Linked DNA regions of Caenorhabditis elegans. The protein of the gene in region 1 purifies or fractionates together with the protein of each later gene. This does not show direct contact. Each region holds a gene or a part of one and is shown on either strand. Other genes may lie near its edges. The genes, in order: D1053.3 and tag-321.

What was found.
Region 2: the proteins of D1053.3 (region 1) and tag-321 fractionate together in Caenorhabditis elegans (co-fractionation; one large-scale study listed by BioGRID). This does not show direct contact.

The regions. Positions count from the first base shown.
Region 1 is NC_003284.9:11,729,068-11,735,947, forward strand, and holds D1053.3 (Ras family protein), read right to left. Parts: upstream 4,636-6,880; 5' UTR 4,624-4,635; coding exon 4,549-4,623; intron 4,197-4,548; coding exon 4,074-4,196; intron 3,180-4,073; coding exon 3,051-3,179; intron 2,381-3,050; coding exon 2,299-2,380; intron 2,246-2,298; coding exon 2,145-2,245; intron 1,479-2,144; coding exon 1,324-1,478; intron 929-1,323; coding exon 796-928; 3' UTR 519-795; downstream 1-518.
Region 2 is NC_003282.8:7,781,797-7,785,691, forward strand, and holds tag-321 (Transmembrane protein 65), read right to left. Parts: upstream 2,056-3,895; 5' UTR 2,030-2,055; coding exon 1,499-2,029; intron 1,488-1,498; exon of another isoform or gene 1,467-1,487; intron 1,154-1,466; coding exon 1,010-1,153; 3' UTR 803-1,009; downstream 1-802. Other genes in the region: sec-10 (Exocyst complex component 5), read right to left, coding at 1-465, 515-703; tag-322 (uncharacterized protein), read right to left, coding at 2,276-2,377, 2,452-2,516, 2,570-2,694, 2,743-3,071, 3,117-3,239, 3,414-3,559, 3,602-3,758.

The DNA.
Region 1 (6,880 bases):
TCTCTGAATCCCTCGTCGTTGTGATCCTAAAATCCGTCATCGATTTGTCCATTGAGTATTCTCAAAAAAGTTCCCATCAACGACATTTCTATTTCTGACCTGAATCAGTCGAAACGCAAGAGAGGTAAAGATCAGTCGACTAGGGATTGGGATGAAGCTGGTTCTAAAAACTGGTCTTTTGATAATCTGTCATTTTTCAGTGATCAATCCTATGTCATCCGTCTGGCTGCTTCAACAATGTCTACGCTGTAACTTCACAGTATACAACAAACTCTTGAAAAAAGTATGTTCCATTAGGTTATTCATTAGTTGGTATTGAGCTTTTCTTCTAATTGGACTGTAAAGTAATATGCAAAAAGTGATTAATGGATTTTTTTAGTCTTGTAAAATATTAATACAGTGAACTACCGCGCAAAATTTTACACATTTCAAGCATCGAAATGCTATTTTCAAATTGTTTTTGAATCCCTCTTTTAGTTAAGATTTCATCCAAAAATGTAATAGTGGAGAAAATGTTTATTTACAAATTATTTATTCCAATCTCAAAAATTAATAAAACACAAATACACAAACTACTGTTATAAAATCCAATTATCATCAATATCACAAGTTCACTGGAAACATACATTTCAAAATTACCGGGAGGTTCGGGGAGCTGACTAGAACTGAAAAGTTCACCAAGAAAAGAAACATTAAAATTTAAGTACAGTTGTGTTTCAGTAATTTTTCCATAATACGAAACAATGCATTATCTATTCCCATTTGAGATCAAACGACATTCCATATTTCCTCACATTACATTATGATGCACACTTTTGAATCTTCAACTTTCTCTCCTTTTTCTTTTTTACCATTTTTCTTTTTCTCATTCACTGCCTCGAATATCATATTCTCTCCCGATTTGTCGGATGATTTCGATCGTAGAATGCTGCAAAAAAAAATGAATTTTGGTGTTTACCAGCTTGTTCGCAGAAGTGAACAATATTTTTTGTTAAGTTTTCGTGACCATCTTCAAGTACTTGTTTGTTCTTAATTGTAAACTTGTTCAGTAAAAATTAAGAAATTCCAGGGGCCTTTAATATCAATTAAGTTAGAACAAAACATCAAGTAGCTCCGTTAATATTGATATTAGTATTATTTATGAATATAAAGGCAAACTTTCTGCCTATTTTTGAGAATATTTTGGCATATATTGAAAGTTTCTTACAATATTTTCTTGTTTAGAAAACTAAATTTTGACTTCCTGGCAAAAACTTTGAGCAGCTTTAAAAAATGTTTGCAAAAATTTCTCGGATAAGTTTGAGAGTTATTTAAAATACTTGCCTTGCAATTTTAGACATTCTCCGATTTCGCGTGGGACCAGATTTGTTGATGGACATAATCATTTGTGTTAATACTTTCTTTGCATCTGAAGAGCTACTGGAACTTATTTGCATAAATGAACACCGACTTCCAAGTTCCTGCGCCAGTTGTTCGCCCTGAAATTGAATATCAGCAGTTATAATAAACAATAAGTGCATTTATCTTGTCCTAGGGCATTGGACATTTTAACATAAGACTGCTCGCGACTATAAAATTTGATTGGATTTTTCACAAGTTTCTATTATAGGAAAAAATTTGATATCAAACTTTAAAAGCATATATTTTTTGCGGTGCTTCAAGTTTAGAGTAATCACGAGCGGTGAATAACCGCGATACGAGTCCACATAAATATGACCCACCCTATAAATTTCAATTTTCAGTTGGAATTTTTTTTGTTCATTAAATTCATATTTTTAAAAATACTGTATGCTTTTCTCTATCATAGCTCCAGAGACTATAATCACTTTATTGTGGCAAGTGCCAACAAAACAATTAAATATATATTTTGTTCCATGTGTGACTATTACGTATCTTCAACTAACTCAAAATAAAATATTTAAAAATATACTCGCATTTTCTATCGGTGTGTTTTAACTGCAACTCGGAAGTTTTTCAAAAATAAGATTACTATTACACACAATACATATTCATGCAGAATATGTGTGGCTATTATAATAATTAATCAGCAATTAGGCGTCACGTTTTTAACAGAAGGATATACATGTAGTACTGCTTGTTTTATTCTCAGTTTGACAGCCTTACGTTAAAAATGCCCTACTCACCTGATCTGCAACTGAAGTAGATATGTTATCATCCAATCCCTTACGAATTTGTTCCATTGAATAGTGTCTTTTCATACCATCTCGGTCATCTGACTCATACCCTGAAATTGTGTGAAATGATGTGGAACATCTTTCCTCCGTGACTCATTTTTACCTTCCGACGTGGAACTTGTATGTGCTGATGCAGTTTCTTCTGGTATCACTTCGTCTGAATCACATACAAGAAGAATGTGAAGCTGAAATATGTTTTGTTTCATTTATGGACTGTTTGGTTTTTTGTCTCATTTTTTGCTGATATTACCCATTTCCATATTGGGTTACCAATTTCCAATAGTTTCATGTTTCCCGATTCTAGGTAAATATCATCTTACATCTACAGAATACTCCGAATAAAGTGTTTCAACATCTCATGTTTACATTTCCTTTTTTCCAAGTCACATTCTTCAAAGTTCCAGACTACCAATAGTCCGACATCAGCTGTTGGACACAAAAATATAATAGGAGATGAAAGAGAAAAATCATTTTTCTCAAGCATCGGCTGTATCTATTTGCACAAAGAGCAACCCGTTCAAACTCGCAAACTTTCGGCGTCTTGGTAGGCAAATAACAAGAGTGGCACAGAGGTTTTTTACAGCTCTCTCTGTTACTATTCTTGTGGCACTACGCATTTTTTTCACAGCTGTCACCATCGGTCTTGCAGAGCATTTCGTTTAACCAATTCGATTTTCGTACTACCCTGGGAAACGGAAATCTATTTTTTGTCTAGCAACAGCAAAATCATGCGCACGTTGTGCTTCTATGAGAAAATAACTGGGGGAGAAATCATACACCTAATCCGTTTCATTTCCGCTGCCATTCGATAGGCTGAAGCCCCTGGATTGTCAATCAAAAAATAAATTGTCTCACGTTTTTTCGATTTTGGAGAGGTTGGACAAGTGACTGAAGAGCTTGAAGAGAATCAATGTTTAGTGCAGAATAGTATAGAATCGCATAATCAGCTGCTGTCAGAGCCATTTCCCGATTTCCTGTGCGAGCCTGAAACAATTTGTGGAATCAAAAGTGCAACTTTGATATTGGAACAAAACTATGAAAATGTGAAAGTTGTAGTTTAATTAATATAATCACAAGTTTGTATTATTCGTCGTGCCCAGACAAAAACTTATTAAGATCAAAAGATCTAAAGGGAGCAAACTCTATACTAAAAATCTATTACATTTGTTTAAATTTTTGATGGGATCCAGATCAGCTTTTAAAATTTCAAACAGCAAAACATAACTAGAAAAACAAGTTTGAAAGTGATTCAAACCATTTGCAAATTATGGGATTAAAAATTACCTACTTAGAGTATGTTGTTACAGTTTTACTCAGGTTTAAGCACAATTTGGAGTTCACTCACAACTGAAAAACTGGTTAAATTAGAGAATTGCAAGAATACTAACTGTGATCTTAAAATTTATCTAAATTTCCGGTTTATAAAAACTTTATGCTTTGCTTTTTTGTATTTGAGGATTTGAATATTAATAAATTATGATATGGAGCCTTTTTTTATGATCATCTTTTTTTTTAAGTTTCTGACTAATCCTGATCACTTTGGTGTAGTTCTAACGACTTCTTTGATCTAACCCAAATTCCAACAAAACCAACTTTTTTGTCTTGTTCCCACTTGACTGTACTCTTGTGTGAATTTCGCTACTGATCATTCATTAGCAGAGCCGTTAACCGGTAAATGTTCCTTGTCTTTGCGGTGGCACAAGTGTTTCTCACATTACCCTCGCGCCCTACTTTTCCAATTTTTTTGTATACCATGAGACAACCGGCTGACTGCTCCGACCCATCAAATAAACACGTGTTGTGAAAACCCAATTTTCTTCCGACAATAAAAGAAAACGGTAGCTGAATAACAGAAAACAACAGGAAAAGATCACTAACCAATCCTGGATCGGTGATTTCCACCACATGCTCTGTTCCCATGTGATCGATGGTAAGGTAGTGAACATCTGGATAATGGACATGTTTTTCATAATTGGATGCTGCATCACAGAGTTGTTTGAACTGAAAATACAATATTCAAACTACTGAAAAATACAAAAAAACTCGGAAAACTGTGTATGGGGGAAGTAGTGATTTGCATCAATTGAACTTTGTGACCACACACGATCAATGAACAGTTTGACAGTTTCAGACAAAAAAACATTATTTTCTCTTAACAATTTTAAATTCAAAAACTTTGTTAACAATTGAAATAGTCGATTCTGACTTACTCACGTTTAAGACTTTTTGAACTACGATGTTCCAAATTAAACAAAAACAACGCAAACGTAATATCAGTAAAAAATTTGATGCATGTTCAAGTTGTCATAACTTTAGTGTGAAAAATAAGTATTGATAAAATATTCCAACTTACAAATAAAGCTTTGTGTCCTGATCCAAGAATCACAGCCTTCCGTTCGTTTCTTGTTTCTTCTTTCTGATTAGTCATATCGGTCTGAAATAGTTGGACTTTTTTTCTGAGAAAGCTCTCCTTAAAGCGAAAATTTTAAAAACAGAACTTAGAAACAAGAGTGAATGAAAATTTCGATGGACTTTGTGAATCTCCGAGGGCAACCACGATGACAAAAAATTCCTCTCTTTGCCGAGAGGGTCGCCAGGAAGACGCATCAAAAAGAGAGAGGAACAGAGATCTAGCCCCGCCCATTTTTCGCGTAGTCTCGTTTTTTTCTCATTTTTGCACGAGTTTAGGGTTTCATTTAGCTCCTTATGTTAGGATTGTACATTTTAAAAATGATATCAACTTTAAAAATCGGGATAGATATTTGATCGGTTGCAAAAAATGAATCACGTTGTGGGGATGATCTGTGGGTTAGGTTAGAGTGTGAATTCGCCACACAAAAGTTCTGATTACAAAAAACTAGTTTCTCTTGGTCATTGTTCATATTTTAGATTACCGTTGTTAGCCATACAGTTTAAATATAATCATAATTTTCTGATGTTTTCATAACAAAGTTTTTTATTCAAAAAGCTGCACACCTTTAATGAACAAATAGTTCTTTGAACTCAGCACAATTACAGTTTAGTGATAAAAATCATAGAGAATTGATAAGAATACTATTGAATATTGGTGACGTTTCGAAAGTTCTGCAATTGCTCGTAAATGGAATGGGAATTCTTGTGAAATCATCACTAACAGATTGCAATCCGAAAAAATTAGTTGCATCACTATTATATTCGAAATGCAAAAAATCAGAACTTCTGGTGATGGATCAGCAAATTTGAAAATCAAATTTAATATCTAACGATGAAAGTTGGAAGAGATCGTAGGAGAAAAATTGAATATTTAAACATACGTTCATGTTTAGTTTAAATGTGATACAGTACAACTGAATAAAACAATTGGGGGTTTATAATTTTTTTTGAAAATTAAAAAATTAACTGGAATTCAATTTCTAACGATGTTTTTGTGTAGCTTCTTATGCCAACATTTTCTCAGTAACGGAACAGATCGTAGTTTAATATTCAAGAGCAAGGAGAAAAATTGTTAAATGAGCGTATAGGTTTTGAATCCTAAAAGTGTCACATTTGTGGCAACTTTCGAAAGAGAACAAAATTCGACACAAAAGAAAGAATGACAAAAGACAATGAATTTCGACTTTATCTGTTTTTATCAAAGTTGAATGTAATTTGATTAATAAGTTGTTAAAATGAACTAAAATTTCATACAAAAAAACCGAACTCTTATTTTTTCAAAATTGTTTCAACGTTTTAATTGAATTCTGATATCATTTTATTCGAATTGCTATATAAACTGAAGAAACCAATGGTTCTTTCTTCTGCTTACTACTTCTAGCGTTCAAACTGCAACAAAAATATGTTTTGCTGGGGAAAAACATAATCCGATCAACGAATGCAATGTATTTTTCATGAATAAGATCAGCGAACCCGAACCGATTGAAAATAAATCATTGGAAAATAAAAAACGCGTGGGAGAATGTGGACTGAAGATAAATAAGTAAACAAAAACATCTACCGCAGAACGACATTTTTCGAATTTTTTTGCTCCAAAAGATGGGAAAATGAAACGTTTTGAATTTTCAAGAATGGAAAAATGAGATTCATCAAAAGATACTATTTAAAACGGGCTACATACTTCCAAATATTTTCCAGATGTTTTAAATTGTGTGTTTTTACTGTGGTTTCTATTGATAAAATATCAATAAAATTCGAATAGTCTGCACAATGTGTTATGACTGTGTAGATCAAATACAAAAGTCACAAAGCACGCTGTGGAAAGTCAAAAAACTGTAGGTCACAACGTTTGTTGACCCAAGTGAAGTGAAAGTGAGGAGAAGGGTTTTAACTTTGTTATCCGACAACTAAAAGGAAGTACAGGAAGGAAAATGTCTGACCAAACAAAAAATTCGAAACTTTGATTATCTTCAATTATTAAAAACAAACAGTGCATTGGTGGAAATGAGCAACTTTTAAACTGTATAAATTTGTTGGTTTTATCATAATACATTTGAGATTTTTGAAGAGTCTGAATAGAATTTTTGGTAAGTGGCCAAATTAAAAGAATTGGGATTTTTGAGAAATTTAAAGCAAAGTCGCATGTTGAAATCCGAAAATCTTTAAATATAAACATTCGGAACAAACTGAAAACATAAAATTCATAGAAAACTTTTTTCTCGAATTCCAAAAGTATGAGTGGCCAAATCTGAGCATTTTACACTTTTTTGACT
Region 2 (3,895 bases), on another chromosome or scaffold:
CTTCGCAACTTCTGCCATTTTCTTCTCATCTCGTTGAGATCTGACGAATTCTTCGATTAGCAAGTCTTCGACAACTTTATATCTTTGTCCAATTCTAGCTTGAACATTTGCAAATTTGTCCTTATTGAGTTCCTGAGAAATTGAATAAAGCTTATGCACCAGATCGGCAGATTCGAGAAGCTTATCAGGATCAGTGAAAATCATGGAATTGAGAGGTTGATCTGAGAGGAATTCATCGAAATGTTGCATCAATTGATGAGCATCATGAGCTCGTGAACGTGGTTGATCGACGGATTCAAGTTGATCACCAAGATGAACAACTTTTGTAGAGACTGCTTGCATTGTATGATCTAATTGTTTCATTTTATCAATTGCTTCTCCATTTTTCTCGTGAAGACGGTGAAGTTTTTGTACATAATCCTTCTTTTCCTCGTTCATTTGCTTTTCAAGAGTATTGATTTTGTTCTAAAAATTTCCACTTTTTTTTAATGCGAACAGAAAATTGAAAAATAACCTGAAACTGATCACAAAGCATCTGTAAACTGCCAATTTCTTCCTCGAATCGCATTTTCAAAGAAACCGGATCGTTTATAGTCTGAGCACTTCCGGTCATTCTCCATGCCAGTTTTTCAACAAGATCAATTGCGTCGAACGGTTCCTGTTCTAGATCCTGTACATATGTCACATATTGTCCACCACTCATCTGTAATTATTTGTTCCTAAAGCATGAAAAACCACTTTTGAATATAAAATATACACGACGGCTATAAAGAACCAATTAAATAATCTATTCAAACCTTATCAGTTCTGATAGTTTTATACTAAAGAATAAAATAGAGTAAAGCACATTGAAGTTTGAGCAAATAACAGGGAATTTTTAAATGCAAATGGCATACAGGGAAATAGAAATGATTGACTAGTATTGGCAGAGGGACAAGATTATGCAATATACAGAAACATTTAGGTATTTTGAACAAAAGTTAAATATTTACAATGAGAAATTCTAATTCTATTCAAGCTTAGTTGCTTTCAATTCTTTTTTCTTCTTTTTTTCATCGTCTTCGTCGTCGCTGAAGAAAAGTAATGGAAACATTCCGAGTAAGCATCCGACTGTTAAACCAGCTGCTCTTGCAGCATTCGTTGTGAACCTGGCCTGAAATCATTTTTTTAAATTTAAAGAGTTAAAAATTCTAGAGTGTGAAAAAAGACGATTATTTTTCTCATTTTCGTTCAGTAGTTGAACATTTCTGGTAAAAAAACGTTCAAAAATTTATCGGCAATTTTCAACTTCATTATCAGATAAAACAAATATTTTTCTAAATTCTATCACTAAATTTTATTGAAAAAAATTGAGAAAACATGCCACATTGGCACAATTTGTACCCCTGCTGCATGCAGCAGCTGCAGACTGAATTTATTCGGGCAGAAGTTCAGTGTGAATAAAATTTTTAACACTTTTTATCATTTTTTGAAAAACAATCAATAGATCCTTTTTCACCTTTCCACTGTCCAATTGTTGAGATGTCAAAACAGGATGTTTAATTCCAACTCGTTGCACTGCAACCTCTACATAATGCGCGAGACCAACGCCAGCAATATCCGAGATAAGATTTCCGAGTGCAGCGGCTGCCATAGTTGATATAGCTAGAACGGCCCCGAGTTTTTGATCAATATACTCGCCAGCTAGGATCATAATCATGTTGTCAAGAACACCGAATCCAATAAAAGGAATAGAATTGACTAGAAATATTCCTTTTACTTGCTCTTGAGTAAGTTCTTCTACTTTCCCATCTTCTTTCTTTGTCAAACAATCGTCTAACGCCGATTTCAACATCTGTTGTTCAATGATAGTCAGACGACTTGCAATTTCCATAGCATCATTTGGAGTTTCAATTATCAGTTTATCAAGATGTTTGAAAGCTGCTGTAGTCGATAGACGGATACTTGTGACAGAATGGTTTGTTAGAAGCGTTCGAGAGCTCGCTCTGCCGATCATGGCAAAAGCCAGACGAGCTGGCGAGCTGATCATTTTTTTGCCTTTCGGCAAGCCGTGGTCTGTAATTTAACTTATGAGAAGACCAATAAATTTAACGAATAATACATAATTAATAACGAGTGAGAGGGATTTGACTGGAAAACAACCATTTTCAAAAAAAAGAAAAACATTCAATTTATAAACAGTTTTCATAAATTAAAACAAAAAGGAACTGTGAGCCCATTTTGAAAAAAACACCGAATGAATTGAAAAGAATAAGAAACGACAAAACATCAAATTTCAATGATATCCGCGTCCGCCTCCTCGTCCTCTGCCTCTTCCACGACCTCTTCCTCTCCAATTTTGTCCACTATTGTCTCGTGAAGTGTGTTGTTCGAGAACCTAGAAATGACAGTTGATAAGAGCAATGTTTTAATGACGCCACAATGGCTAGAAAAAGATTGAACACAACAAACCTGCTCCTCGTGAGTTTTTGGACGGTCGAAAGTACTTTTTTGTCGATTTTGGGAATGTTGCCTATCTGAAAATAGTTATTTCAAGAAATTTTCCGCAATTAACAATGAGTAAACTTACCAAAAGTATGTTGTTGTTGTCTGAAAGATTCTTGTTTCACTCCAACCATTTCTTCTGTGCGTCCTCCACGATCTTTTGGAGCATCCATAATTGAAAGTGGATGTTGTTTGCTTTTTGTTCGTTCTCTGAAAATACAATTTCATAGTTTTTACCATACATTTTTATAAAAATACCTTCTATCCATAGATGACGCTTTTTGAATATAGAGCAATGAAGAACTTGCAGAAAGAAGATGAGCTACGTCACTGTTCGCTTTAACTCGTCCAATTTCATCGACACGAGCAGAAAGAATTGATTGAATATTCTCTCTGTGCATCTTGAGGCGATCATTCCATAAAAATGATTCAACTGTGACCTTGAGTCGACTGTTCAGAAGTAGAAGTCGATTGTAAAAATCACGAGAAAACGATTCACACTGTTTTTCAATTTCAGGAAGTGTATTTTCATCAAGAGTCGCTTTGAAAAGTGGATGTCTTTGACTTTGGGAAACGCGTCCATCTGTCTGAAAATAGAATTTGAGAGGGTTTCTTCAATGAATTATTAATACCTTTTGTCTCAAAGTTTCCAAGAGTTTCCATTCATTAGAATTTCCTGCTTGTTTAGGGAAGTTGAGTGTTCGAAGGGCAGAATCAATAAGTGGAGTCAGTTCGAGATCACGTTTTTCGGAGACCTTAATGAATTATTTAGGTCGAAGTGGAGGGACTTGAGACTAAAAAGCAAGAAAAAACAAAGTTAAATAGAAAATATAAAGCAAAAATTTGAGAAAATGTGATTAATGATAAATCCGAGATATTTCCAGTTGTGTTTTGGCAACTTAAATGCAATATTTCAAAAGAAAACTTACAATTTCACCCGATTCAATTCTTTGTCTAGTAATGAGACGAGCAGTTTTGACTTCTGAATCAAGAAAACTTTCAAGAAGCTTCTTTGCTGATGAAGATTGGAAACGTGTTCTAATATCACCGCATGTCAGTTCTTCATGAGGACATTCTGAAAACGAAATAAATTAATTGTATTATCTTCATTCCTTACCTAATTCAAGCAAAAAAGTACTGAGATCATAAAGAAACTCTAGTAAATTATGGTCATTCGGCTGTCGGACGTATTCTTCAATTTCGTACAATTCTCGAATTTCTGCACAATATTGGATAATTTGATTGGCAAAATCGAGAGTTATTCCATCTGACATTCCTGAAAAATTGTCGGGATTTGGCTCAAGAGGGGTATTAGAGAAAATGTGTTCAATGGAGTAAACAACAAATAAGTTTACACTAAATAATCGAATGGAAGGCTGGCACCAGTCACTGAAAACTGACGAAGTGGTGA